7 linked regions of the Rattus norvegicus genome follow. The protein of the gene in region 2 binds, or shares a complex with, the protein of the main gene of each other region. Links are inferred from orthologs where the notes say so. Each region holds a gene or a part of one and is shown on either strand. Other genes may lie near its edges.

Region 1 (4,300 bases), on a different chromosome or scaffold from region 2:
ATAAGGGCAAAGTACTTGAATTTGTGTAAGTTGAGCATATCCAACAATTTTTTTTTTGGTTTTGAGGCAGGTCTGCCTCAAATGTCTTTCGTTCATGCTGCCTACATGACTGGAATTACAGAACGTTACACCTGCCAGGAAAAATATTTTCTAATTCTCAGGCACCCTGAGCCCATAGGAAGCAGCTGCTAAATGTACTGACTGCTTCTAACCAGTGACAGCCTCTTTTAGATTCAGGTGTTAAAGTTTCTGTTGAAACTCGGTAACATCTTGCTTGGTAATCATGATGGATCCAGCTCTGAACACAGTGATGTGCACAGGTGGAGTGGGGTAGGTAGGACAGAGAGGGAAGACACATCTTAGGGTCTTGCTGGCAAGTCAGTCTAGCTGAATGAACCTGTCCATTCCAGGATCAGTGGCAGATCCTGTCTCAGAAAATGAGATGGCTAAGTCGTTAAGGACATATGTTGCTCTTCGGCAGGACCAGGGTTTGATTCCCAGCACCCGTATGGTGGCTAACAACTATAACTCCAGAGGATCCAACACACTCTTTTAGTGTCTGGGAACACTGCACATGTGGTACACAGATATACGTGCAAGGAAAAACTCACACATATAAAATTTTAAAATATTAAGTAAGTGGAAAGAACAGCCAGCATTCATCTCTGGCCTACACAGGCAGGCATGCTCCAAGCTTCACCCAGACCCCCAGGAAACCGACTTTTTTGGTATCATGCAATCAGCAGGCCTAGTCTCTCAGAATTCTCACCTGTGTACCATGACTGCCTTGCACCAACAGCCAGCCTCGAGAAGACAAAATAGCAAGTGTTTTCCTATTTATCCAGACATGATATCTACAGAAGCTATAACCTAGCAACTTCCCATTTAATTACTAGTAAAAATAATACGGCTGGAGAGATGGCTCAGCGGTTAAGAGCACTGACTGCTCTTCCAGAGGTCCTGTGTTCAAATCCCAGAAACCACACGGTGGCTCACAACCATCTGTAATGGGATCTGATGCCCTCTCCTGGTGTGTCAGAAGACAGCTACAATGTACTTATATATAATAACTCAATCTTTTTTAAAAGAATATGCAAGTCATAATTTTCTCAATCTTCCCAATAATTCTCAGTAGAAAGCGTAGAGTATGAGCAAGTCACCCGGCACAGAGAAGAATCTAAAAAATTATCAGGGAGGCGAACTACATCCAACGCGCAGCTGCTATGGCCCACGCACGCGCTCGGGAGGGAGGAGTTCCTTGGGAGGAAGTGGGAGACAGGAAGTCCCGCCCTCCTCCCGGTTTGGCGGTCCTCTCTGCTCTGCCCTACTCCGCTCCCTTTGAGCCCAGATTCAGCCGCGGTTTTCGCGGTTCCCCTTGCGCCTGCGTGATCCTGTCCTGCCTCACGCGCGGGCTCGTGCTCCGGCTCCCGCCCTGCCTCCGGCCCGCAGTCCCCGGCGCCTTCCTTCGCGGTCCAGGCCGCCCCTCGTGGCGCCAGCACCATGGTGGGTACCGTGACGTCAAAAGGGAGCGCCGCCGCCCGCGGCGGGCGGTTCGAACTGTTCGGGTCTTGGTTGCGCTCTAGTGTTTGTTGCCTTGGGCTGTAGCTAAGCCCTAGGGTTTTCCTTACAACCTCAGGGCCCACACCCTGTGTGAGGAGACTGCTTGGAACCAATGGTTTTTTTGGGGAAACTTCCAGCAAGTCCAAGAGAAAGCCCACGGGCGCCGGGGGAGAACGGAAAGCTAGTCTTGCATTTCCGTGCTGGAGATCAGGATTTTGTGAGGGTGCGGTTGGGAAGCGGTCTCGAGCAGGGAGGTGGTCGATTCGGAGAGTGGGTTCTGGCATCGAGGGGTGCAGCGCAGTTATTGTCTCTCTGTGGCCCCAGGAATTGCAGTCTCTGTTAACGGATTGTTGATGGTGGTGAAATTTTGAGAACTACTAGGTGGGGCCAAAAGGACTGGTATTTCAAATGCCGTCACGGGTTCCTCCTCCCTGTCCCTTTTCATGTGATAGTTCCTCCCTCTTTTCCAATAGCTCTTCTACTCCTTTTTCAAGTCCCTTGTGGGCAAGGATGTAGTCGTGGAACTCAAGAATGATCTGAGGTAGGTCTTTATTTCAGCGAGTTGGTGGAAGGTGGGAGGTGCCTGGTGTCCTGATCGTTTTCGTGGTTGTTGTTCACAAAGCTATTTTAGAGCAGAGGGGCAAAACACAGAAGAAATATCTTGTGTCTTGAGTGTAAAGATTAGTTTAAGAGTGAGCCTGGTGCTGTGGCACATGCGTGTAATCCCAACGCTGATGCAGAATTGTGAATTCAAGGACAGTTTGGTCTACATATGTCCAGGGCCAGCCAGAGTTACACAGTGAGATACAGTTAAGTAACATGTATGTGCAGTCCTGGATGTCCCGGAACACACAGATCCGCCTGCCTCTGTCTCCTGAGTGCTAGGATTTGCCCTGCTGTATCATTTGCTCTTAACCATTCAGGAGTGGATTAAATGCTGTATCACTGGAAAGATGTTTATGGCTTCTTGTCACATCATCCATTAGAGTCTACTTTCTTTTTTTGTTTGTTTGTTTGTTTATTATACATAAGTACATTGTAGCTGACTTCAGAAACACCAAAAGAGGGCATCAGATCTCATTATAGTTGGTTGTGAGCCACCATGTGGTTGCTGGGATTGAACTCTGGACCTCTGGAAGAGCAGTCAGTGCTCTTAACCATTGAGCCATCTCTCCAGCCCCTAGAGTCTACTTACTTTCTTTCTTTCTTTCTTTCTTTCTTTCTTTCTTTCTTTCTTTCTTTTTTCTTTTCTTTTGTTCGGGGCTGGGTACTGAACCCAGGGCCTTGCGCTTGCTAGGCAAGCGCTCTACCACTGAGCTAAATCCCTAATTCTAGAGTCTACTTTCTTAATAGTGCTTAGAAAATTATAGGTGTCACTGATGTCTATTTTTTTTTTCATGTACTGGATGGGCATGCTCAACAGGTGAACTTCATTTCCAGCCCTCGTGTTTCTTTTTAAAATCCTTTTATTTGTAGACTCTTGAAACCTTTGAGCACAGGTCAGTGCTTGAGAGCCTTGATTCTAAGACAGAACGTGGTGTTGACAAGCAGGATGGTTATGGCCAGTGTGGGCAAGTGAGAGGCTGGCCCAGGCCGGGGTGGAGAGTAGCTAAGACTTTTTCTAGTCTAAAAGTCAGACCACACAAGTGTTCTTCCACAGAGCAGTGGGGGTTCGTAGAATGTAGAGAGTGAAGAAGTAAAATGCAGGATCTGGGGTTGTTAATTAAAATTTTAATTCCTCTGCACCTCCGTGCAGTGGGTAAATATAAGATGGGTAACATGGTGTGGGAGCAGTGGCTTTGATAACTGTACTCAGGACTAGAGGGTGGGGGAGTGTAGCATTAATAATAGTTAATTTCAGCTGCCATGTATATGTAGGTCTCTGGCTCCAAAGCATAAATGTTTACAAGTAACAGCTATTGGAGCTGCAGAGATGGCTTGGTGCTTTAAAAAGAGCTTGCTGCTCTTCCAGAGAAATAGAGTTCAGTTCCCGGCAGCTACATTAGGTGATTGACAACAGTTTGTTGGGCTGAATACAACTCCTTAGAACTCTGGCTTCAATGGATCTGATGCCCTCTTCTGGTCTCTGTGGGTAACTACATGCACATACACACAAATAGTAAAAATCAGTATTTAAAAATAATGGATGTTTCTGGGAGTCGTGCAGATCAGGGCTGACATTCCAGTTCATTTGTGTAAGTTTTGGTACCTTACATGACCTCTCATAAGTCCTGGATGATACTACTTTGAAAGGTGATTAGCTGAGTGGTTGATGGCTGTTCATCCCTTAAACCTTTAAACCTAGCCCTCAGGAGGCAGGGGCAAGGGCAGGGGCAGGGGGGAGTTTGAAGCCTGCCTTATCTACAGAGCTAGTTCTAGAACCCCACAGGGAAACCCAGTGGGCAATGGCCATGAGTAGTGCTCCTAGCTGTAGTTCTAGAACTTCAGAAGTGGAGGTAGGAATGCCAGAAGTTGGAGGCCAGCCTGGGCCAAGTGAGAACCTGTCTTAAAGTGGAAATACTAATATTAAATGGAGCATAGGCCCGGCCTGACTACGAGCTTCTGATGTGTTGGTGTGAGGACAGACTGAGTCTGAGGTGCTTTATCATTTCCACCTCAGAACTTACAGGGGCTGCCTGCTGGCTTCAGGGCCTAGAGTTCCTCCCCCCTTGTCACTGTAGTTCTGATTTTCCCTCTGCTGATTCCAGCATAAATGAATGCTTCTCTCCTCTTTGCTCCC
Region 2 (3,500 bases):
CACCAGCCCCTCTGGAAGTCTCTGGGACAAGTTAAAACTGGCTTTGCGGTTTAGGTTACTAAGGAGCGGACGGCTCAGTGTTTCCTGCGTGTGGACGATGAGTCAATGCAGCGCTTCCATAACCGCGTGCGGCAGATTCTGATGGCCTCTGGCTCTACCACTTTCACCAAGGTATGTGGGCATAAACCTTCGTTTCCCTGCCAGCCCCTGTGTCTTGGCATCCCTTCAGCTCCTTCCTGGTTTGGATTCCCACTTTCCCAATTTTGCCTAATATTCTAATCTCCATGTATTATTTTGGGATGGCAACTTAGAATGTTAGATCTATTGGGGTTTATTTCTGAGGATTCCCTGCAAGAATTTAATAGGCTGTATCTGTGGGGTTTTGATGATTTTTTAAATCAGAGCAAAAGTGGAGTCTATAATTTGAACAAAAGTATCTATTTTGCATTTTCCCTTGGCTTGTTAGCTAAGTCAAACAGCCTATATTTTAGGGAGTAGCATAAAATGCAGGGTCTTTTGTTTGCATTTATTTTTCCTTAGGTTGTTCCTGGGGCCCACTTAAGACAGCTGGAGATTTGTATGTTTAGGGTCTTGCAAGGCCAGATCTCCCATGATGAAAACTTTTTAAATGTGGCTCTTAGGAATTCACTTCTCCTAAGATAACTTCTGTGCTGTAGGTATTTTGCACATACTAGATACCAGTTGCAAAGTAGAGCCCTTTCCCTTTGAGAGAGAGGTACATGATATAAGAACCACTAATATGTGATGTTTATGGAGTCATTGCATTATCCGAGAATACTAGAGTTCATGAGTTCAGATCCTGTCTGAGTGGAAGTAGAAAGACTTCTACAAGAAACAAGGTGAAGGCGTTCAGCTTTAGCAGAGGTGTGGAAAGGTACTTAATTAGTACGGTACTTGCATAGCTATAAGAAGTTTAAGGTTGATGGCTCAGCGGTTAAGAGCACTGACTGCTCTTCCAGAGGTCTTGAGTTCAAGTCCCAGCAACCACATGGTGGCTCACAACCATCTGTAATGGGATCTGATGCCCTCTTCTGGTGTATCTGAAGATAGCAACAGTGTACTCGTGTAAATCTTTAAAAAAAAAAGTTTAAGGTTTATTGTAGTAAATTGTGGAGTTGGAATTTTTCTAGATCCCTGGAAAAAAGAATTTTAGCAAATATAAAAGTATAAGGCATTCTCTTCTTTTTCTTTTTTTTCTTTTTTTTTTTTTTTTTCCAGAGCTCGGGACAGAACCCAGGGCCTTGCGCTCGATAGGCAAGCGCTCTACCGCTGAGCTAAATCCCCAACCCCGGCATTCTCTTCTTTAATTTTATAATTTTTTTCCAAGGCATAGTTTCTCTTCATGCAGCCTTGGCTGTCCAGGAACTTGCTCTGTAGAACAGGCTGCCCTCAGACTCACAGAGATCCACCTGCCTCTGCCAGCCAAGTGCTAGGATTACAAGCGTGCATCTCCACCACCAGGCAGTTTTCTGATTCTGGGGTGAAGGTTGAAAGCTTAAGGATGAGTGAGACTGTCTGGAAGAGTGGAGAGAGGAGAAAAGACAGATAAGATAAGGGTGATGGGAAGGAAGCTCTGAGGTGCACTGACCAGAACCGAGCAGGTATTTAACAGCCTCAGTTGCCTGAACAGTTTAGTAGATAAGACTGAATGGGAGCCAGTGACATTGGCAGTTAGGACGTCATTGGTGACCTTAGAGCTATTTCAGTGCTGGGATGCAGGCCAGATGGTTTGCCAGAACTGGAGTAGGTGCGTTAGAATCTCCCTTTTTCAGAGGGAGCTGCACATCAGGACAGGGCTTTTTGTTCTATTTTGGGAGTTTTTACTTTTATTCACTTTTTTTTTTTTTTTTTTTTTTTTTTTTTGAGCTGAGGACCGAACCCAGGGCCTTACGCTTGTTAGGCAAGCGCTCTACCACTGAGCTAAATCCCCAACCCCTTTTATTCACTTTCTTTTCTTTCTTTGGTTTTTTTGTATAATTTACTTGTATACAATGCATTATAATCATATTAACCTCTTTCATGCCCCCTTCCTGCTGTCCCTTCATTTAACAAGGTGTGTGTATGTGTGTGTGAAGAGACAGAGAGACAGGGTGGGGGTGGAGTGTTGTGCAGTTCCATAGCCCTCTTCCGATTCTTTGAGGCATGGTCTCTTCTGGAGCCTGCAGCTCTAAAAGCCTGTGAGCTCAAGCAATCCTCCTGTCTCAGCCTTGCTCAGAGCCTTATGGAGGAGTGATGAGAGCTGAGGGGGGAACTTCACAATTATGGTTAGATGTGCATGATCTTAGGACTTTGGGCGGTCCTCCACCCTCAACTTGATTATCTATAAAGTGAGGATAACCATAGTTCTTAGCTCAGAGAACTTTTATGAAAATTAAATAATATGTACAGTAGTCCAGTAAGCCATATTATTTTATAAAGAGCTTTTATTAATTAGATCAGAGATTACGATAAGAGCATAATGTTGGATTTGAACTTGTTTACTTTTTCTCCTTTGCTTTTTGTTCATTTGTTTGCTTGCTTAAGATAAGCCTTATGTATAATCGAGGCTGACACTGAACTCTTGATCCTTCTGACTTAGCCTCCAAAGTACTGGGATTACAGGCATAAGCCATCTGACACTGATAACAGGCCTTAACAAGTACACATTCCCACACATATGTATATATGTGCACTGATACTAACAGGTGTACACATCATATATAGCTACACTAGAAGACCCCAAAAACCACCTCCACCTCCACCCCGTTAATAGAAAATCTCGAGGAGGCTGGAGGTGATTAACCCTAAGGTCAATTAAGCTCCTTTTCTACCTCTTTTTTATTTATATTTGTCTTGTGTACTCACAAGTATACACGTCACGACCTATGTGTGGACGTCAAAGGACAGCTTTCAGGAGTCAATTTTCTCCTACCATGCAGGTTTCCAGGGTTAAAGCAAGGTAGGTCCTTCTGATTTGGCAGGAAGAACCCTCGACTCCACTGACCTGATTTGTCTTTTCAGCTGTTTATTTTTGCTATACTGGGGATTGAACTCGGCCAGGCAGCTGTTTTACCACTGACCTATATTTTGAGATTAAAGTTTCCCTGTGTTGCCCAGACTGGTTTTGAGCTCCTGGGCTCAAGTGATCCATTGACCTCAGCCTCCCAAATAGCTGAGACTATAGGTGTCCGTCACTGCTGTGGCCTTTAGTGTCCTCAGTTTCCCTTTCCTCCAGTTTTGTTAGAATCATGCTGTCACTCCCACCTGGGTTACCACTTCTGCTTTAGGTGTGTGTGGCACATTTAGCTCAAGAGTACATATGACCCTTCTGTTTAGTCGTGGTCCTAACTGGCACACACAGACCTCGATGAGGTCCAGGAAAACAGCTATGTACCCCTTAGGTAGTCTGACTGACAGCTCTGTTTGCTTTGTAAGGTCAAAGGCTGCCTTCCTGATTAGTTCTTTGTCTTCCTGCAGTCAGCAGTGCTGTTTCCTTCTTT
Region 3 (3,989 bases), on a different chromosome or scaffold from region 2:
TCCTCGGCTAGTGAGCTGGAAGCCAGGCCGGGATCCATGAGACCCTGTCTTTTAATAAAAAAGGGGGAGGAGGGAGTGGTGTGTGCTTTTAATCCCAGCACTCAGGAAGCAGAGGCAGGTGGATATCTGAGTTTCAGGCCAGACATCGCTACAGAGGAAACCTTGTCTCAAAAAAACAAAACAAGAAAACAACAACAAAAGGAGAAGGGGCTAGCCCCACCTTTCCTTTGATGCTCCAATAGGAACAACCTGGGGCAGTTTCAAATTAGTGTTTGGAATCAATATACTTGTTAAGTCAGAAGAGTCAGAGAGGTACACACCAGCCGCCTTCTTTTTGTCCATGCCCTTCCCCACACAGTTCAATGCCGCTGTGACCACCGTGGGCTCTGAGAAACCCAGCACTCTCTTCACTGTCTTCTCTATCCATGGTTTCAGCTCATCCAGTTCCCGCTTAGACAGTGCCATTTTGGAGGAAACAGAGACTAAGAGCTCAAATCGGACAAAGTACTACACCTAAAAGAAACCAAGCAAGAGTCAGAGAAAAGGAAAACAAAGCAATCAAGATAACAGTATAATAAGGGTGCTTTCCCCACTCCTATTTTCAACCCCTAGGCATGTCTCTCCATTTGATATGGAGAATACTTTCCCTAAAACCAAGCTTCAAAACAGGAGGAAAGGGTTCCATTAGCTTTTCTGAGTTTTTTTTTTTTTTTTTTTGGTTCTTTTTTTTTCAGAGCTGGGGACCGAACCCAGGGCCTTGCGCTTCCTAGGTAAGCGCTCTACCACTGAGCTAAATCCCCAGCCCCAGCTTTTCTGAGTTTTGAGATAGGGTCTTACAATGTAGCTCATGCAGAACTCAACACTTGGCAATTCTCCTCCACTTACCTAGTGAGGAATTCCGGGAGCATACCACCATGCCCCACTCATTTGATATTTTGATTCTAACTCAGCATCAGTCATCAACACTATCTGAAGAATAAACAAACTAGGAATAACCTAATCTGAGGAATGGGTTCTAACTTCTGACTCTGTCATATAAAGGATAGGCAAACAGAACATCTGAAGAGTCAATCTAGAAGTCAACCTTACTATTACGTCTACTCTGGAAGGCATTCTCTAACCCGGCTTTGACCTAAAACATCTTTAATGGATACAAATAAGAGGTTTTATTCAAGTCAGTCCTCCTGTTAAATCTCATAATCTTTAAGAATGCTGTCATTTCTCTGTAGATTTATTCATGGTTGTAAGCATTCTATATGCCAAAATGATTCTTTATTACTTAATGCAAATTGGTGTAAAATTTCAACACTATTCATGCTTACATTTGGGTACTCTTAAATCTCAAACATCTTCACCAGCATAAAGTTAACTTAATTTCTGATTTTCTTCCCAATGGCTGTATGTCAGTCAATTGACCTTAACTTCCCAGCTGACCTCCTCTTAGCACTGCCCTGTATCGTAGTGCGATCTGGGAAATGACTCTTTCAAGGTGTTTAAAGACATCTAAAAGATGCCACCTCAAATGACCATACAAGTCTGTGATCCCAGCACAAGGGGAATCAGGAGTTCAAGTCCAGCCTTGTCTACGGAGTTCAATGTCAACTCTTGGCTATATGAGACCTTGTCATAAAACAAAAAGATGCAGTCTAATTAGCTCCTACAATTGACAGACTTATCTCTCAGAAGATCTATCAATGCACAGTATTTAATACACCTGAATGAAGCTGAAAGGCTGTTCCTCAGTGACAAGTCTTATGAATAATCCTGGGATTGCTTTTTGGGCCATCATGAGATAGCAGTATACTGCCTATCAAAAAGAAAGCAAACACAGGCACTAAAGGTGGAGAAGAAAGCCCACTGAAGAGAGGATATAGTAAGCACTACCATTTATAAGCCCTTAGGTAAGCAAGTTAATCACCAGAGCCTCAGGATACTCATCTTAGAAAGTGGGAACATCTGACATAACACTCCATTCAGTAAATACTTAAGTTCCTATTACTTGTTAAGCAGAATACTTACTGCATGTAAAGACACATACAGCAGTGAACAAAACAGCCAAGAATCCTCGTGTTAATGAAACTTACGACCCACTACAATTGAGTAATAGACTGGAAAGTTTAAGCAATTTTCAAAATCCAAAGTAATAGGTGAAACACTAGAAGACTGGATGTGAGCCCAGGCAATATACTGACAAATAGATGTCTTCAAATTCGACCCGAATGTGCAAACGAAGCAGTCAATGGATAAGAAAGTTCCAATCACTACAGTTGTCACCAACCAAATAACTATAATAGCGAGGAGGCGTCAGTGTCGGTGTGGGCCTGGGGGGTAGAGGGGAACGGGAGGAAGGCAGAAGGCTGTCTTCTGAATGAGCAGAAAGCAGACTCTCATCTTCTGAAGGAATTCCTTACTTTTCTAAGCTACAAGCCCCTGAGTCCCCCATGCTCCCTCTTTACTATCTTTCCAACTGGCCCCCGCTTCAACCGAGTCCGACCTAACTCCTCACCTCAGAGCAGGTCTGCCCACCCTGCTCCTTCCCGCCCCCGCCCTTTTCCTTCAGCAAGCCCATTCTGATTCCGTCCCCCAACAGAACCCGGGGTTCCTCTCAGCCTGCTTCCCGCCGAACACTCCCGCCCTGTCCAGCCGCTCGGACCGAAGGCTATCCTCTCGGGCGCAGGGCCACTACTCACCTCACAAACTTCAGCCCCTGAGACGGAGCCCGAACGTTACACCGGAACCGGAAACCTTCCGGTTGCCCTATGGCCCGCCGTCGCTACCGCCAGAGCCACCGCCACGCTGCGGTCCCTATAACACGTGACTTGAGAAGGCGGGACCTGAGCCGCGCAGCCGCGGTATCAAGGTGCCGGCGGCCGGGCGCACGCGCGGCGGGATCCTAAAGCTTAAGTCCGCTCGCTGACTTGCCGCGGAGCAAAGCCAACGTTAGTCCAGTCCTGATTGCCGGGAGCAGAAGTCGTTTGGCAGCACATTCCCTTGGGTCAAGAGTTAGTGCGCTAACCTTATTGCTAGAACTAAAAGCAAGGACATCCACATTCGTACTCAAAGTGTCCTTTATAGTAAAAACAAACAAAAAAAATATTAGGGGTTGGGGATTTGGCTCAGTGGTAGAGCGCTTGCCTAGGAAGCGCAAGGTCCTGGGTTCGGTCCCCAGCCCCGGAAAAAAAGAAAAAAAAAAAAAATTGAGCTGGAGAGATGGCTCAGCGGTTAAGAGCATTGACTGCTCTTCCAGAGGTCCTGAGTTCAATTCCCAGCAACCACATGGTGGCTCACAACCATCTGTAATGGGATCCAATGCCCTCTTCTCGTGTGTCTGAAGACAGCGAGAGTGTATTCACATAAAATTAAAAAAAAAAAAGTAAAACCTTCATGATAGAGCTGGAGAGATGGCTCAGTGGTTAAGAGCACTGACTATTCTTCCAGAGGTCCTGAGTTCAATTCCCAGCAACCACATGGTGGCTCACAACCATCTGTAATGGGATTTGATGCCTTCTTCTGGTATGTCTGAAGATAGCGACTATATATATATATGTATATATATATATATATATATATATACATATATATATATAAATCTTTTTTTTAAAAACCTTCATGCTATTGGAAAATTCTAATTTCCATCTTACTAGGAAACAACTTCACTTTCTAATGAGTCTACCGCATATTTCTTCTAGTTCTAGTTTCTGTTGGGGTTGGTAAGATGGCTCAGTGGGTAAAGGTGCTTGCCACCAATTCTTGCAGCCTGAGTTCAATGCTCAGGACCCACAAGGTAGAAGGAGAGAACCGATTCCTGAAAGATGTCCTCTGACTCCCTCAGGTGACTGTGGTGTGTGCGCACACACACAAGGTACATAAATACATGTAATCTGTAAAAGTCAGTTTTTGGCATAGTGGTGGTGTATAGTCCTTAATTCCAGCATTTAGAGAAAGGCAGGCAGATCTCTGAATCTGGGGCCAGCCTGGTCTACAGAGTG
Region 4 (3,976 bases), on a different chromosome or scaffold from region 2:
CAAAGTAAGTCCTCTACTTTGTTGTAAACAATGTTATGACAAACTAGTTAACACTTATAGTTAATATTTCATCTCCTTACTGCCAACACTGTGTCCTGTGTATATGTCTAACTGAATTCTATCAATACTATAGTAGATATATTAGAACTGAAATAATCAGAAACTTAAGTTGAAGAAAACAAGCAGGAAAAACTGTATGGATTTAGAAAAAGAAAGTATCATAGATGCTCTTCAAGTTTCTGAAGAAATAGCTTATTTTCAATTTAGCTGGTTAATCTCTTGGGTCTACCATTAAATTCTCATGTTACAAAAGCTATAATTATATAGAATCAGAATAAAATAAATAGAAACCTGGAGTCTAGAAACTGGAAAGAAAAACACGTTAGACTATTTACTATAGCAGTTAGTAAATGGTGGTTATCATAAACCCCCCCCCAAATCCTCTCACCTTCATTTTACACAAAACTATTTTATCAGACAACTTTGTGATAAAGATAGGAACTAATCAATGTCAATGCTTTTGTTCAGCTTTTCTTCTATAAACATTTTGTAACAGAAACAAGAAATTAAAACTAAAGGCTTTAAAAATCAACTATTTTCAAATTAGCTTTTAACATTAATAGACTTCCTAAGTGCCCATAGTTTACAAATATATAGACTATGATCTGACCACCACCACCCCCTCATAACAAACTACAAACAAAAAATCCTACATATTTGTTTCCTTTATTAAGAACAAGCAAAGGAAGTAACCTTGGTTTTGGAATTAAACACAATTTATGACACTATACAGTTCTGTCACTTGTCATACTGACTCTCTGGGAAAGTGACTTATTTTGTCTAAGCTAGATTCCTAATAACAAAAGTGGCAATTCTTCACAAGGCTGTAATGCAAACTAATTGATATACAAAATCCTTAACACATGATATGCATTTAGTCTATGTCATTTTGACTGGTATTGCTCATGGAAGAGAAGAGTCAAAAGGATGAAGAAGAAAATTAAGGAGCTGGAGAGATGGCTCGGTGGTTAAAAGTCCAAGTTCTTCCTAGCACCCACACACTGTGGCTCACTCTAGGTCTTGTGGTCTCCTTGTGTAGTGTATCCTCACACATATGGCAGACGCTCATAAACACACACACACACATGAGCAAAAACAAAATTAAATCTTTAAGAAAAAAAAACCAGAATGGAATAACATGGGATTAATTTACAGTCATGCAAGAAATATTTCAATCAGAAATGGTAGGTCGGCCAATGGTACCGAAGATTGTGCCACCAGTGAAGTCATAAATTTAAGTTTCCAAAACCACTTACTATATTCGGAAAAATGATGAAATCACTGAAAGCACATTTCCTCATCGATAAAGAACCAATTAGGGCACACACATGTAAACTGTTTAAGGTCTCTAAGTTAAAACAAACGAAACGGAATAGAAGGATGCAAGAAGAAAACAAATCAGTTTATCACACAGCTCTACCTTTCAGCTCAGGTCTTCAGGGTTGGCCAGAGAAGTTGGACAGGCAGCCAAGAGATGAAGTTAAATAGCTGAATCATAAGAACACCGGAATATTGGTACGCTGTGGTGTCTGAACATTGGGCCAGAAATGTTACCTCAAATGTACAAGCAATAAGCCTCAGGAAAGAGGAAAACGAAAATGTCACTCACCACGATCATTCTGCCATCAGAAGTTATTACTGCAACAGTTCCTGAGAACTGAGTCAAGGAAAGTATTTCCTAAATACAAACTGAAAACTTTTAGCCTAGAAAGGGAATGGTTCCAACTACTTAAAAAAGAGAAAGAATTAAGATTCAACAGAGTCACTGCTCGGAGGAATAAAACGTAAGTTTTTAAACTTGTTTCAACTGTACCTTGAAAACAGTTAATTAAACGATAGAGGGTATAGAATGTGACTGTTTGCCTCTGGTTTAAACAGCAATGTTTCCAACCTATGACACTGAGCAGGTTAGACTCACTTCTTAACCTTTAGAATAAAATTTAGATGGGAGCTAATCAATGTTGGATCTCTTTATGCATGGTAAGGCCCTTCTCATCCAATTAATGCCATCAAGTACCAATAATCCTTGCATCATTAAAACCTCTCTGTATTTAACTAGGGTTTCCTCTTTGAGCATATGCTAGGTGCAATGTTTTTGCCCTGACTTCAGAACAGCAATTCTATCTTAAAATCTCTGGGCTTTTTAAAAGCCATTCGTCACTCTCCAAACACCATCACAATACGATTTATTTTTATTCTACCGCATAGACATTTCAAGCGGAGGCATGGGACCCGAAATGCACATCTGAGGAGCATCTTCCTGTTCATGCTATCCCCGAACAAACAAGACTGTTAGGATCTACGAACTGGGAGTCCTTAGGACAACAGTTCACCTTAGTCCCAATGTTGGAACATATACAATCAACAGGCTACGTGCAGGAAAACTCTAACTACACCGAGATCTGTGCTGTGGGTGGAAAAAGCCACGGGTCCATCCGGGAGCTCCCTCCACGAATCCCGACCCCCGGTCCTCCACCCACTGCTCACTGCCCACCACTCCGGGCCCCCGTGTTCCCTCCCGCCCCCGCCGCGGCCTGAGCCGTCGCAGCGGCCCGCCCGAGGATACGGTTGATGTAGTTCTCCAAGGCAGACGTCATGCTGCTGGGCCCGGAGGTTCCGGGAATCTGAGAGGAATCAGCAACAAGGAGACAAAACACCGCCCGCTAGAAACACGTACAGATTCGCGCCCGCTGGCGAACGCAAATATCGCGAGACTCTGAGGCCTCAGCGGTGACGAATCAGTAAGAGAAAGGAGTCGGACAAACAGGAAACGGGGCGGTGCTGACTAGTGGGCATGCGCAGCGTGTTTCCGCTGGGCTTCCGGGTGGCGATCGGAAGGGGAGACAAAGGCGGGGACAGGCGGAAGTGTAGAGTTGTCACCGAAGGCGGACTGGAAGGAGACACTGGAGGGTTCTACCGGACGGGAAGGCACTGTGGTAGTTACTAAAGGTAGTGCGGAAAGACTCTTTCTGCCGGAAGACACACGAGATGAAGATGTTTCCATTGGCTAGAGTAGGAGAGAGATTCTTTGTTCTCATAGGCAATGTAGATGCAGGGTGCAAGGAGCTCTAGATTTCTCCAGCATGAGCCAAAAAAGTTTAAAAAGCCAAATAGCCCAGTACAAAGGGAGCATTTTGTAGCTCCACGATGTACATTTTCGGAGAAAACAACTGTATGAAAATATTTGTGTATTCTGAATTTGGCTCTTCGTGTCCTTAAACGAGCTTTTTTAAAAAACGAAAGCCAAATAGCTGAAGGTGCAGGAGCCTGCCTTAAGAAATGGATTTCATCGAAGTCTCGGGACTTAGCTTTCCTCAGGGTGAAGTTCAATAAATAAAGGCTACAGCCCCACTGTGAAGGGACTAATTGGAGAAAAGTGTAAACTAAGCACCGGGTTTGATTCTGATTCTGTCCCTCATTGCTGTCACTATTTTATGTCACTTCAACTCTGGACTTGAGTTTACTTAGTTCCTACTACAGAACTATTATTTTTCACATGTCTTGGTAAAAATAGGACTGACATTCTCCCTCATGCCTCGTGTGTGTGTGTGTGTGTGTGTGTGTGTGTGTGTGTGTGTGTGTGTGTGTGCAACTCACACTATGCAAGTCTTCCAAAGTCCTGTACCAATAAGTTATACCTCCAACCTCCCCCTACCCTGTCTGCTCCAATAATGTTTTATTTATTTATTTAATGGTGCTTTCACTTCAAAACTGGTTGTTAGGAATCTGCACAACTAATTATGGAAAAAAGCAATATTTCTTTTTGTTGTGGGTTTTAAAATCTTTCTTAGCTGAAGAATTATGGCTTTGGAGTGATTGAACTAGCTGTGCTTTGCTTTTAGTTAGAGACAGTGACAGTAATTACATCATCAAACTGTTGGGGAGCTAAAAGAATTCCTTTAAAGCTTGCCATACA
Region 5 (4,175 bases), on a different chromosome or scaffold from region 2:
CATTAGACATGTCTCCAAAATTCACCCAAAAATCAAAATACAGCCAGGCACTTAATTTTTGCACTGAGGGGCAGAGGCAGGAGGATCTAAGTTCCAGGGTAACTGGGTCACACAGCAAAACAAACAAACAAACAACAACAACAACAATATCACAAGGGGCTGGAGACAGGGCTCAGTGGTTGAGAGCACAGCTGCTCTTCTGGATGACCTGGGTTCAATTCCCAGCACCCACATGGTAGCTCACAAATGCCTATAACTCCAGTTCCAGGGGAACCAACACACTCACAGAGACATGCACGCAGGCAAAACACCAATGCACATGAAATAAAAATAAATCATTTAAAACAGAAGAAACAAACATCAAGGACTCAGATCCTCGGGGCCATCGTGCCCAGCCTGGTGACTCTGGGTCACGAGAGGGCTGGGGGAGCCTGCAGCACAGGGCCCTTCCTGAGAAGAGCTAGGGGTGGGGGTGGGGGTTCAGTGGCAGGAAGTGAGGCTGGAGCCCATTTCCTGCAGAGACTTCCTGAAAGGGTAGGAGGCAGAGGATGGCTTCTGTGAAAATGGGTGGTGGGAGGGTGGCCTTGGTGATCAGTGACAATGGTGTCCAGTCTGACCCTCAAATAAACAGTGAAAAAGAGGCACAGTCTGGCAGCCTGTGGCTAAGCTCCAGGGAGTTGGAGCCATGGTCATCCTTGGCTACAATGTGAGGTCAGCCTGGGCTACATGAGACCCTGTTTCAATAAAGGAACAAATAGAACAGTCAAACTCCTGAAGACAAGGCACAGCAAAGGCTCAGGGGCAAACATCACTAAACAAGAACAGGCGCACATACACAGCTCTTCTGGAGCTGTTATGGCCAGCACAGGCTAGTCTGGCTGTGAGGCAGCCATGGTAAGGTCCAGCCTACTACTGAGCTTTTGTCCCTCCTGCCCGGGCCCCAGCCACCTCCCAGGGTGCCCTTCCCCAGACTTTCTTTGCCCAATCCTGCTGAGCATGTCCCCTCCTGTGACTAGGCCCCTAATGGCCACCCTGGGCTGCCAGCCTGTTTCCACCCACCACAGCAGGGGCCGCTCTCTAATTACAGGGTGATCAGCACCAGTCTCCCTGGCTAGACAGAAGGTCAGTGTGGGCGCGGGCTCTCCTGCAGCAGGGAGGGGCAGTAAACACTTGCTGAACAGGCAGGGTGGAGATACCCAGCACAGGTGCATCCTGTCCAGAGCCACAGGTAAGTGTGGTGTAGGGACAGGCCGCCACCCCCAGATCTGCGCATGCAGTGGGATACAGAGGAATGGAAGGAATGGGGTTCATAGAGAAGTAATTAGTCCGTGCTCCAGCTGGGCAGGCCTCCCAAAACGAAGGAAAAAAAGCTCAGAGTGAAACGGGCCAGGGTGGACAGGGAGGGTGGAGCTGGGATAGTCACAGGCTTTTGAGTGGGGAGATACAGCTTTACACTGAGCACCTGCACCTGCAGGTGTTATGGCCACTGGCTCTGGGCTCCAGTCCCAGCACCTCCCATCAGAGGAGCAGTTTCAGGAAAGGAAATTCCTTCTCAGCCACCCTCCAGCCTCTCTGGGATCCAGCGTGTAGATGAGACGGCTGGAGGATCAAGCCTTGGGCTCCGAATTCAGAAACTTTCGGCTGGGACACTCCTGTACCAGCTGGGCCGCAGAGATATGGGAGTGTCTGTGCGTACCTGCGTGGAGAGGGTGTCCAGTCCTGGACACACCTGGCCATCCCTTCAGGGAGGCTCAGAGGCTGGGCGGGTGCTTTATGGTGGGAATAGACTGAAGGAGTCTCAGGGGCTCAGGGTACACCTAGTGGGGAGTGCTTACACAGCATGTGTTAGGCCCTGAGGTCCTGCACCACAAAACCCAGGGTCGCTCTGGAGTAAAGGCAGGATCAGGAGTTCAGTCATACGTGATTACAAAGGAAGTTCAAAAGCAGCCTGGGCTATATGAGATCTGCCTCCCGTCCTAACCCAAACATGGAGGTATACACGTGTCCTTTCCATACTCCACTGATTGAAGCAAGAGGATGAGTTTGAGGCTAGCCTGGATTACGTTAAGTTCAGATCAGAAAGCCTAACCAAAAAACAAAACCAAATATTCTACCATCAAGAACTGAGATGGGCATGTCCAGCTCTCCCAACTTGGGCCAACGCGCCCCTCGATAGAGCAGCAGGGAAACCTGGCCTCCTCTATTCCATCATGTCAGGTCCCACAACTGGGAAGGCCTGAGCCTGAACTAGGAGAAAAAATTTCCTTCCTCCCGAGCAGGACCTGCTATGTGTCCAAGGGAGAGAAACATCCCTCAATCTGGGTTGGACTTTCGGCCAAAGGCGTAGGCAGCTGAGGTCAGACACTTGATAAGCATCAAGTGGGCAATGGAACCCACGTGAGCCCTTAGGTCCGCCCACTTCCCGGAAACGCAGCAATCCTATCAAAAACGGTGACAAGCTCCGGAAGCGATCATAGTCCTTCCGGCCGCAAAAAACCTTGTCCATTCAAGAGATAAATCCGCAACGGTGGCGGACTGGGACCCTAGAGAGACACTGGTCACCTCCGGCCTCAGGTTTCCCCATCTCTCAGCAGCCCGAAGACCCTGAGCGCGCGCCCCGCCGCCTCGCGGCCCTCACCATCTTCCCTGCAGAGATAACTTCCGCCGCTGCACAGCCACTCGCACTCCCACCGGCAGTCTACCGCGCGCTCCAGCCTGAAAAAGACTGGCAGAAACTATAACCAATCAGCGAGTGACTAAATGGACCGATCCAATCGGAACGGGATAAGGCGGTGCCTACATAACGCGGCGGCGTATCGCGTCGTATTCCCACCGTGGGATTGAGGAGCGGCCGTAAAGCGTGACACCGGAGTGACGCAAAAGGCCGCGGTGCTCTTCATGCCCACTCATGGTGTATGTTGGGAAATGGCGCCTGCGCAGATGTGCACTCCTGACTGGTTCGGCGCCACACTGTGGGCGAAACTGGCTAATGCATGTGAATCGCGCTGGGCTGGGGAAACCCGCTTCATACCCTCTTCGCGCTCCTATCTTTCCGTCCTCGCCCTTATGGAGCTCTTTCTCTTTATCAATCCAAATATAATCCTTGAACGCGAACGTCAGGGCCAGCGTTCCCCGGCGACAGGAAACAAATCGCTGGAATTTTCGTGTTTTGAGATGGGTTCTTGTGGCAGCTGAAGCTGATCATGAACTCGCAATAGCCTGGTACGCAACTTCTTCAGTGCTGGCATGGCCGCTGTAGGCTACCAAGCCAGCACCTTGTTTTTTTGTTTTTGTTTTTGTTTTTTTTTAATCGTTATCATTTTGGGAAGAGGTTAGGGTTTCTCTGTGCAGCCCTAACCGGCCTGGAACACTCAGTGTTGACCAGGCTGGTCTCAAACTTCCTGAGATCTTGGTGCTGGGATTGCAGGTGTGTTTTAATCTGTCGTCTTGAGATACAAAGTTAGGTTCTCATGCTTGCCCAGTGTTAGGGTCCATGATTCGCCACCGAAGAATGATACCGTGGATTCAAATAGTATGTAAAGGCAATGAATGTTTTATTCTGCAGAAGTCCAGCATGCTGTGGTCTCCCATTACCAGAATAGACACCCAAGTGAACTTGGAAGTCTGATTTAAAGCACATTAGGGAATTCTGGGGTAGGTGACCTCTATGTTAATCTGTTGGGTCCATCTCTACAGACATTCCATTACTGGGGTGTGGGGGCTGGAAACTTACTGGGGAGGGCTGGAAACTGCTGCTGAGGAAGTCTGGAAACTGCTGTTGACCCAGCCATTGTCCTTGCCTCAGGCCAGGTGGCAGGGCAGCTTCTGAGGCCTGGACTTGCCTGGAATTGCCCAGTTCTTGGAAACTGATTTAGGCCTACTCTCCTTAACTGCCAGTTTGAAGTCTGTCATGGAATCAGTCTAGCCTTTTCACCAGTCAGCCTTTTTTACCCATGGATCCAACTCCCCTGCCCTTCTATTTATTTTTATTTCCTTTGGCTACTGGCGATGGAATCGGAGCTCTGCCCTGAGCTGTCCCGAGCAGGACAGCTGTTTTACCAAGCTTCTGGAAGGCCTGGTGCAGAATGTCAGTGATGAGCTCACTTGTACGGTTCCTCTGCCCCAGGAGACTCCCTGGGCGCCACTACCCAGGGCTCTTCTTCTTTTTTTTTTTT
Region 6 (4,035 bases), on a different chromosome or scaffold from region 2:
GAAAAAAATCAAAATAAGAGTATCTGGAGAGGAGACAGAGTAGAATTGTGACAACCTCCAAATCTTGTGGGAAACAAGCTAAGAGAGGTAGATGCTATACTTGGAGAGCATAAACCTAAGGAGGTTTTAAGTAAGAAGACAGAGGCATAAGGTTTTGTTGTGGTTCTACATCCATTTGGCTGCTAGATGATGGGGCAGACAGATGAGAGGAAGCCAGAAAAGAAGCAACCTGAAGTTCATTTCCTTAACGATATGGACAAGATCTCTAGCTATAAAATTAAGAGAATTAAGTACAGATTTCGGTGGTTCCAAAGCTGAACTGGACTTGATGCCGAACTGGCAGTTAAGAAGAGATGTGTTCTAACGTGTGTTTTAAAAGGGATGATTTATTGAAATAGAACAACTGGGGGGATGGATATGTTTAAGGGGAAAGATGGATCTTGTTCAAGATCTAGATTAAAAACTCATTCCAGCCAGGGCGTAATGGTGCATGCCGGTTAATCCCAGCACTAGGGAGGCAGAGACAGGCGGATCTCTGAGTTTGAGGCCAACCTGGTCTACAAAGCAAGTTCCAGGACAGCTAGGTCTACACAGAGAAACCCTGTCTGGAAAAACAAAGCAAAAAACAAGAGTAACAGAAAGCGCATCCTAAAAACCCGGAGCTGGAGTTACACTGGATGGCAGTCAGGAACTTGATGAGAGAGATCTCTCACTACAGGTCTCCCTCGGTCCTGGTTTTTGGCATCTCCTGAGATACCAGGCAATTGCGAAGCTTTCTCCAGCTCGGCCTTCAACACTTGCTATGGGGCTGAACTTGGTACTAAAGGTTAACCGAGGGGTTAAGACAGATAGCAGAGGCCCTCGGGGGCTGGAGGGGGGACGCATCGGGCCGTAAAGACCTTGCGGTAGACACAGATCCGCTCCGCCGCCCGCCCCAGCCTCCGCCACCATCGCCTGACATGCTGCAGACTTGGCCTCTCACCCGCATCGCTCTCCTCAGGCCGGGTTGCTTTGTTGTCCTCGGCTTCCTGGCCGCGCTTCCTCCGCTTTCCGCCTGCGGTACGCTTTCGGGCCATGCTAGCCAGAGGCGTTCCTCCGGACAACCACGCAGGACTGCCGAAAGTCTCCGCGTGCCGGCTCCGCCCCGAGGCGTGCCATGCCTGGCCGCACCCCCAGCTCCGGATAGGACCACGCCCTCCAAAAAATCCCGCCCCCATGCAAACTACAAGGGCGCGAAGGGACAAAAATAGTGTAGTTCGCCTTCCAGTGCGTGGCGGCCCAACGTTTCCTAGTGTCTGCTCTCGCGAGAGGTGGAAAGGGCGCAGCGTTTGAAACATGGCGGACGACGTAGATCAGGTAAGTTTGTCCTGGGGCGTCCGAAGAGGAAGTGCTTTCGTTTCTTAGCCGGGCTTGCTTTTTCCACGCTTCCCGTGGAATGGCCCTTTTCTTTTTCCCGAGTTCCCACGGCCTTCCGCAGCCAGGCCTGCTCCTAAAACTTCCGTAGGCCCAGAGTTTCTCAACCCGCCCATCTGCCCATCTCGCTCGTCGTCGCCCTTTCTCTGTAGAATGCAGACGGCTGTGGATATCCCATCTATGGGAGATACGGTCGGGATTCCGACAGAAAGAGTACTGTAGCGGTAGGACACCAGCATAGTAATACGTGTAAGCACCTGGCACGCAGGCAGTGGCTCACTTGGAGTGTGTTACGAGGGGAGGTCAGATAAAAGGTGCAGTTATGTGAGATAGAGAAACTGCTAGAGATGTAGTATATAGAAAACAAGCAAAGACCTGGCACACAGTGTTTCTCTTCAGAGCATGTTGTTTTAAATGTGTTCTTTATTTAAAATGTTCGTTCCACAACTAGAATATAAGTTCCTTAATAGGGATTTATTGGGGCTTAGTGGTTAAGAGCACTTTTGGCTCTTGTAGACAACCCTGGCTGTGTACCAACACCCACATGTTGCTTTCACTGCTTAACAGTGATTGAAACACCACACTACCTCAGTGTTCCATTACTAAGCCTTCTTCTCTCATCAGCAACAGACCACCAATACCGTAGAGGAGCCCCTGGATCTTATAAGACTCAGCTTGGATGAGCGAATTTATGTGAAAATGAGAAATGACCGAGAGCTTCGAGGCAGATTACATGTAAGTCTGTTAAGTTATCTCAAAACCAGATGCTCCCCTGTCATCCCTTCCTACCTCCTTACAGATAAGAACTGCAACATAAACTTATTTTTTTTAATTATACAATGACTTTTGGGAGTTGGAAATTCCTTTATTGGCTTTTAAAATATTTTTTCCTTAACCAGAATGTTTTTTAGAGAGGGATGGGACTCCTGTGAGACCAGAACAAGGCATCTGATTGCCCAGAGCTGGAGTTACAGACAGTTGTGAGCTGCCTGGTGTGGTTGCTAGGAGCCAAACTCAGGTCCTCTGCAGGGATAACCAGTGCTCTTAATTTGAGCATCTCTACAACCCTGTAGAACACTTTTGTTTTCTTCAGCTTTGTCCTCTGTTTATTTAAAATGAATAAACTTCTTTTTGTTTTAGACAAGGTCATACTATGTAACCCAGCTAGCTTCAAACTCAAGATCCTCCTGCCTCTCTCTCCTTAGAACTGGGATTTTAGACATGCACTACCACTCTTGCCATTGTCCTATGTTTTTAAAAGTTATTGGACAGGGTGTTTTGGTTTTCGACATATAAAACTCTCCTTTGACATGAAAAAAACTAAATAGCAGGCCAGAGATCGTTCACCTAGTATGTGGCAAAGCCCCTAGCACTACCAAAAAAAAATTAAACACCATAGAAATCTAAAGGTGAAATTCCATTTTCTCTGCACTATTCAAAGTTGGCTACATAGTCGTCCACATCTTTTCTGCATGTGTATATGCTGTCTGTGTTTGAAGGAGGATCCTAGTGAGGTACGGTGGCATGTGCCCATAATTCCAGTACTTAGATGACTGAGGTAGGAAGGTCATATATTTGAGGCCAGTCTGGACTACATAGTGAAACCTTGTCTGGTATGTACACACCTTTTCCACACGGTTTCTGTGTGGAATGATTATGCAGCTGACACAGTTGCCCAGGATTCTCTATAAGGCTTCGGTCACTTTTTTGTTTTTCCAGCCTTAAAACTGCATTGTGCACTTTTACATATATTGCTTGTGCACATTTATGATGCCTGTGGAATTGGTCCCTTGAAGTAGCATTATTGTGCACTTAGGGTTTTGTCTCTTCTTGTTACTTTCCTCAGAGCTGTTGGTTTACAACGGGAATTGGAATTAAGTCTTTTTAGTTCAGGCTTAGAAATAGCCCCATACTGGCACCCACAGAGCCAGTGTGGGGGACAGTCTCAGTCTTTCTTCTATGAAGAAATTTTTAGTTCTTTCATGAAACCTGAGGATAAAGAACCTCTGTGACTTGGAAGGAAATTGGACTGTTGATCTACAAGCCAGCATTAGGGAAACAGCGGTGCCAGTTTGGTGAGAAACATGGGATGGAGCTAAATTGAAAGGCTCTTCGGCACATGGAATGACCCCAGGCTAGACCATCGCCTTTAGTTTGGAGGTGTCTGAAGCTCTTACCTCTGTAGTAAGTGGCCCAGGTTTCTGTTTCCTCCCTGCTCTCCAGCTGAACATTTTGCTCATTTGTGTAGCTGCCAAGCAGTTCCTTCTCAATGTGGCGCCTGGCTATTTTTAATCTTGATATGAGCAGGCAAAAGCACTTAGCACTTTGTTAGAAGAACATATAAGTGGGTTCTGAACAAGCCCCAGGAGGTTTGCTGTTAGTAAAAGGGATGAACTTTGGAGGTTGCACTAAACACTGTGGTTGCAATCCTTCCTGCCTGAGCCCACAGATGCCAAAGCATGTTAAGCTCTGGACAAGTTATAAATGGGCAAAGTAAAGGTGGGACAGATGATTGGTGGGTAAAGTTTGAGTGCTGAAGTTTAGATCCCTAACACCTGTGGAGACCCCAGAACAAGCTCTTGCGTTCAACTTAAAGACACTACCTTAATACATACGGTGGGG
Region 7 (3,500 bases), on a different chromosome or scaffold from region 2:
GTTCGGCACCAATGTTGTGATAGAATCATGGCAGACCACACCAGGCCAGTGTAGTTCCACATGAGAGAGGTTTATTGTGGAGGAAGGGGACAAAAGGGGGCAACGAAGACGAAGGGGGTTAAAGAGAGAAAAGAGAGAGTGCAAAGGTCAAGAGGATCTGCCTTTTATTTAAGCTGTGATGTAACCGATCACAGGTAAAGGTGAGAGGTAAACCAAATGGACGCTATGAATGAATGTCTGGCAATTGCCACGCGTGGTCCCTGTCACCTCTGGGTGATGTCATTGTCATTGCTGGGTTTGAAGGCGATCTGTAACCAACCATAAAGCCGGTTTCTGAGGGAACCACATAAACACAGTGTGGCCTGCTGAGTAGTTTAGCCTACTCAACAGTGGCAGAACTCTCCTGCTATGTGTGAGGGCTTCGTTCCTCTAGGCCTCTGTGCCATCTAGCAGGGCAGGCAGTCTCTGCAATGTTCCTTTCCTTCTCATAGAGCCAGAGCAGACCGGCTGCGCCACTGCACACAGACTAAGCCTTAGGTGTACATCACTATGCTGACTTGAGATGTGCATGCCAGAAAAATGGGAGACATTCTATACAAAGCCAAAGGGCCTACCTACCCTTGCGGGAATTTTGCAGGGTCCCAAGGTCTGAGGCACATTGGGACTTCCCTTCTATGATGAAACCCAGTACTCCTACTGCAATGACACCTAATCTCAGAGCCTGAACTCTACAGGGGCACCCTCCTGCCTACTGCCAAGTACTCTGGGTTTTGCCATGTGGTGAGTCCTAAAGGGACAGACAACAACAGTGAGTCTGGGTTCTTCTCACTCCACAGATCCAACACCACCAGCACCAACTGTGCTGATCCTCGACAAAGAAGAGAGCTGAATTCTCCTGCACATCTGTTCACCTATGAGGAAGATGATCCCAGCAGGGAACTAGGAATGGCTAAAAACCTCGAACACACCTGACCATGAGCAAGGCAGACGTGCAGCTTTGTCAGGTTGGAAATAGAGCAGAAAAGATGGGTGGAGCAAAAGCAAGTACAGCGTGGATTCCAGTAGGATGACTGAGTCACAGGCAGACACTTCCCACAACTAGAAGCTAACTTGTCTGCTACCCTACGAGCAGATTCATGGCTCTAGAAAAGCCTTAGGACCGCAGGACTAAGAAGGAAAAAGCCCCGACCTAGGGTTAAAGTCACTGAGGCGACTGAGAGATGGTCTGAATGAAAATGCCCTCCCCACCCCCACAGACTCATAGGGAGTAGCATTATTGGAGTGTAGCCTGTGCGGCCTTTCGGAGTTAGGGTTTCATTGAGGGTGGGTTTTGAGGTTTCAGAAGCTCAAGTCACAGTCTCTTCCCACTGACTGTGGATCCAGATATAGAGCTCTCAGCTGCTTCTCCAACGCCATGTCTGCCTGCGTGCCATCATGCTTCTGTCCAGGAGGATAATGGACTAAACCTCTGAACTGTAAGCCAGCCTCAATCAGATGTTTTCCTTTATAAGAGTTGCTATGGTGAGGCAGGGCCATCCCTTCAATCCCAGCACTCAGAAGGCAGAGGCAAACGCCTGGTCTACAAAAAGTGAGTCTAAGACAGTCGGGGCTCTGTTACACAGAGAAACCCTGTTTCAGGAGGCAGGAAGCAGGGGGAGTTCCCATGGACATGATGTCTCTTTCCAGCAATAGAACCCTAACTAAGACACAGATTCGGCAGGATGGGCCTTCTATCTGTTCCTCACTTTAGTCAGCATGGTGCCTGGAAGACTAGCTGGATGTTTCCCAAAGCTCCTAAGAGCACCAGAAGACAAAAATGCCTTGTAAGTCAAGGCCTCAACCTAACATGAAGTAATACCACATACACCACGTGCATCCGTTAACCTATACAACAGAGCACATAGGTCTCTGAATGTGCAATGCTGTTGGAGAAGCTCCCATAGGCTTCATGCCCTACTTTTACTTCTCCAAACCTCGCCACCAAGAGGCCTAGAACAATTCAGTCAAGCTGTGAGACCAGCACTGACTCCCAGGGGGTAATCAAGTTGCCTCCATTCTCTGAGGAGATCATTTTACAGGTCAGAGGGTCTTCAGTCTTATTTAGTGTTTCTATTTGCAAGTATAAAGTTAGGAGAAGAATATGGCACGATACTGAGTACCTGTACGCAAAACCCACACAGCAAAACCAAAAAGATTATGCATTTGAGGCTAGCCTGGGCTACATGTAAGATTCTATCTGAGAGATAGATAGAAATAGAGATAGACACACACACATACACACACACACACACACACACACACACACACACACAGAGGGAGAGAGAGGGAGGGAAGGAGGGAGGGAGGGAGAGAGATGGAGAGAGAGAGAGAGAGAGAGAGAGAGAGAGAGAGCGCCTATAATAAAAAGAAGCAAAAGCACCAACTGATGATCCAGACCTCAACAGGGTCTAGGTCACTTGGTCACTAATGCACGTAGAGAGCTAACCCTTGATACCCACACAAGAGGGAAAAGAAAATCCTAACTCCGGTATGGCACATACTTAGCATTTGCTTGGTGTGTGCACATGGTAATAGTGGTGTTTCTGTACTACTTCTTTCTCTACCTTTGTGCACTTCAAAATTCCATTTCCAGAACACAAGCTATCCTGGAGGGACTATATACTTAGAGAGTCACAAACCTGTTCCTGTATTATGAATAAGGAAAAATTGGATGACAGTGATTGTTGAGCTCACACACTATAGAAAGGTAAAAACGGTGCCCTTCAGTCAGTGTGGGAACATTTCTACTGGAGTCCATTCTCTATAGAACTCCAAGGGCAAAAGCAACTAGCCCAGAAAAAAGGACTGGCAACTTTACCAGCTTCTTAACTACCCTCGCAAAACGTCTGAGCAAAGGAAGAGTGAACTGCTCTCCAAGAGAACAAAACATCATAAAGCAAGAACACCTTCAAGGCACAGTTTAAGGGGTACCTCCCAGAGAGGCTTACCTTTCCGAAGAACACGCTTCTTTGCTCGAATGTCTGTTTCTAGTTCTGCTGCTCTAATGTAAATCCTAACAGACTGTGGGAGATGACGGACAGCTTGTGCCACCACAGCCTTGGCTGTGTCCCCAGGCTGTAACCTAGCTGCTTCTAGCCAGACATCTTCACTCTAGGGGAAAAAACAAAGAACAATAAGAACATGGGCAGGTATGACTGCCTGGGAAGCTCTAATTTTTACCTAAAATTCAAAGAATTTCACAGAGGTTTTCTTTCATTATCAGATATACCTAGTTTACACAGAAGAGTACATGACATTGTTGGTTTTATTAACACTTTCTAAATTCGTCCTAATCATCCCACCTTCCAAAACACAAGTGCTAGAATATTCTGAGAGACAGCACTAATCTGTGTTTTGTTGTTGTTTTGTTTTTTGTTTTTTTTTCCGATTTACTTATTCTTATTTGATGCATACAGGTGTTTTGCTTGGATGCATATCCAGAAGAGGGCATCAGATCCCCT

Evidence for each region.
Region 1: Prpf8 (region 2) and Lsm2 share a complex: the UniProt entries of both Homo sapiens proteins name them as parts of the U4/U6-U5 tri-snRNP complex. The link is inferred for Rattus norvegicus from reciprocal best matches to the Homo sapiens genes PRPF8 and LSM2.
Region 3: Prpf8 (region 2) and Prpf3 share a complex: the UniProt entries of both Homo sapiens proteins name them as parts of the U4/U6-U5 tri-snRNP complex. The link is inferred for Rattus norvegicus from reciprocal best matches to the Homo sapiens genes PRPF8 and PRPF3.
Region 4: Prpf8 (region 2) and Lsm8 share a complex: the UniProt entries of both Homo sapiens proteins name them as parts of the U4/U6-U5 tri-snRNP complex. The link is inferred for Rattus norvegicus from reciprocal best matches to the Homo sapiens genes PRPF8 and LSM8.
Region 5: Prpf8 (region 2) and Lsm4 share a complex: the UniProt entries of both Homo sapiens proteins name them as parts of the U4/U6-U5 tri-snRNP complex. The link is inferred for Rattus norvegicus from reciprocal best matches to the Homo sapiens genes PRPF8 and LSM4.
Region 6: Prpf8 (region 2) and Lsm3 share a complex: the UniProt entries of both Homo sapiens proteins name them as parts of the U4/U6-U5 tri-snRNP complex. The link is inferred for Rattus norvegicus from reciprocal best matches to the Homo sapiens genes PRPF8 and LSM3.
Region 7: Prpf8 (region 2) and Prpf6 share a complex: the UniProt entries of both Homo sapiens proteins name them as parts of the U4/U6-U5 tri-snRNP complex. The link is inferred for Rattus norvegicus from reciprocal best matches to the Homo sapiens genes PRPF8 and PRPF6.

What each region holds. Positions count from the first base shown.
Region 1 is NC_086038.1:3,848,866-3,853,165, reverse strand, and holds the start of Lsm2 (U6 snRNA-associated Sm-like protein LSm2), read left to right. Parts: upstream 1-1,500; coding exon 1,501-1,503; intron 1,504-1,672; coding exon of another isoform or gene 1,673-1,783; intron 1,784-2,033; coding exon 2,034-2,101; intron 2,102-4,300. UniProt on the Homo sapiens protein: Plays a role in pre-mRNA splicing as component of the U4/U6-U5 tri-snRNP complex that is involved in spliceosome assembly, and as component of the precatalytic spliceosome (spliceosome B complex).
Region 2 is NC_086028.1:60,839,778-60,843,277, forward strand, and holds part of Prpf8 (pre-mRNA-processing-splicing factor 8), read left to right. Parts: intron 1-54; coding exon 55-171; intron 172-3,500. UniProt on the Homo sapiens protein: Plays a role in pre-mRNA splicing as core component of precatalytic, catalytic and postcatalytic spliceosomal complexes, both of the predominant U2-type spliceosome and the minor U12-type spliceosome.
Region 3 is NC_086020.1:186,089,628-186,093,616, forward strand, and holds the start of Prpf3 (U4/U6 small nuclear ribonucleoprotein Prp3), read right to left. Parts: upstream 2,801-3,989; 5' UTR 2,691-2,800; intron 514-2,690; 5' UTR 466-513; coding exon 321-465; intron 1-320. UniProt on the Homo sapiens protein: Plays a role in pre-mRNA splicing as component of the U4/U6-U5 tri-snRNP complex that is involved in spliceosome assembly, and as component of the precatalytic spliceosome (spliceosome B complex).
Region 4 is NC_086022.1:48,270,952-48,274,927, reverse strand, and holds the start of Lsm8 (LSM8 homolog, U6 small nuclear RNA associated), read right to left. Parts: upstream 2,801-3,976; 5' UTR 2,658-2,800; coding exon 2,627-2,657; intron 1,711-2,626; coding exon 1,670-1,710; intron 1-1,669. UniProt on the Homo sapiens protein: Plays a role in pre-mRNA splicing as component of the U4/U6-U5 tri-snRNP complex that is involved in spliceosome assembly, and as component of the precatalytic spliceosome (spliceosome B complex).
Region 5 is NC_086034.1:18,792,057-18,796,231, forward strand, and holds the start of Lsm4 (U6 snRNA-associated Sm-like protein LSm4), read right to left. Parts: upstream 2,801-4,175; 5' UTR 2,726-2,800; coding exon of another isoform or gene 2,642-2,725; coding exon 2,639-2,641; intron 1-2,638. UniProt on the Homo sapiens protein: Plays a role in pre-mRNA splicing as component of the U4/U6-U5 tri-snRNP complex that is involved in spliceosome assembly, and as component of the precatalytic spliceosome (spliceosome B complex).
Region 6 is NC_086022.1:125,576,950-125,580,984, forward strand, and holds the start of Lsm3 (U6 snRNA-associated Sm-like protein LSm3), read left to right. Parts: upstream 1-1,235; 5' UTR 1,236-1,335; coding exon 1,336-1,356; intron 1,357-2,037; coding exon 2,038-2,148; intron 2,149-4,035. Other genes in the region: Xpc (DNA repair protein complementing XP-C cells), read right to left, coding at 983-1,076. UniProt on the Homo sapiens protein: Plays a role in pre-mRNA splicing as component of the U4/U6-U5 tri-snRNP complex that is involved in spliceosome assembly, and as component of the precatalytic spliceosome (spliceosome B complex).
Region 7 is NC_086021.1:189,118,965-189,122,464, reverse strand, and holds part of Prpf6 (pre-mRNA-processing factor 6), read right to left. Parts: intron 3,151-3,500; coding exon 2,988-3,150; intron 1-2,987. UniProt on the Homo sapiens protein: Involved in pre-mRNA splicing as component of the U4/U6-U5 tri-snRNP complex, one of the building blocks of the spliceosome.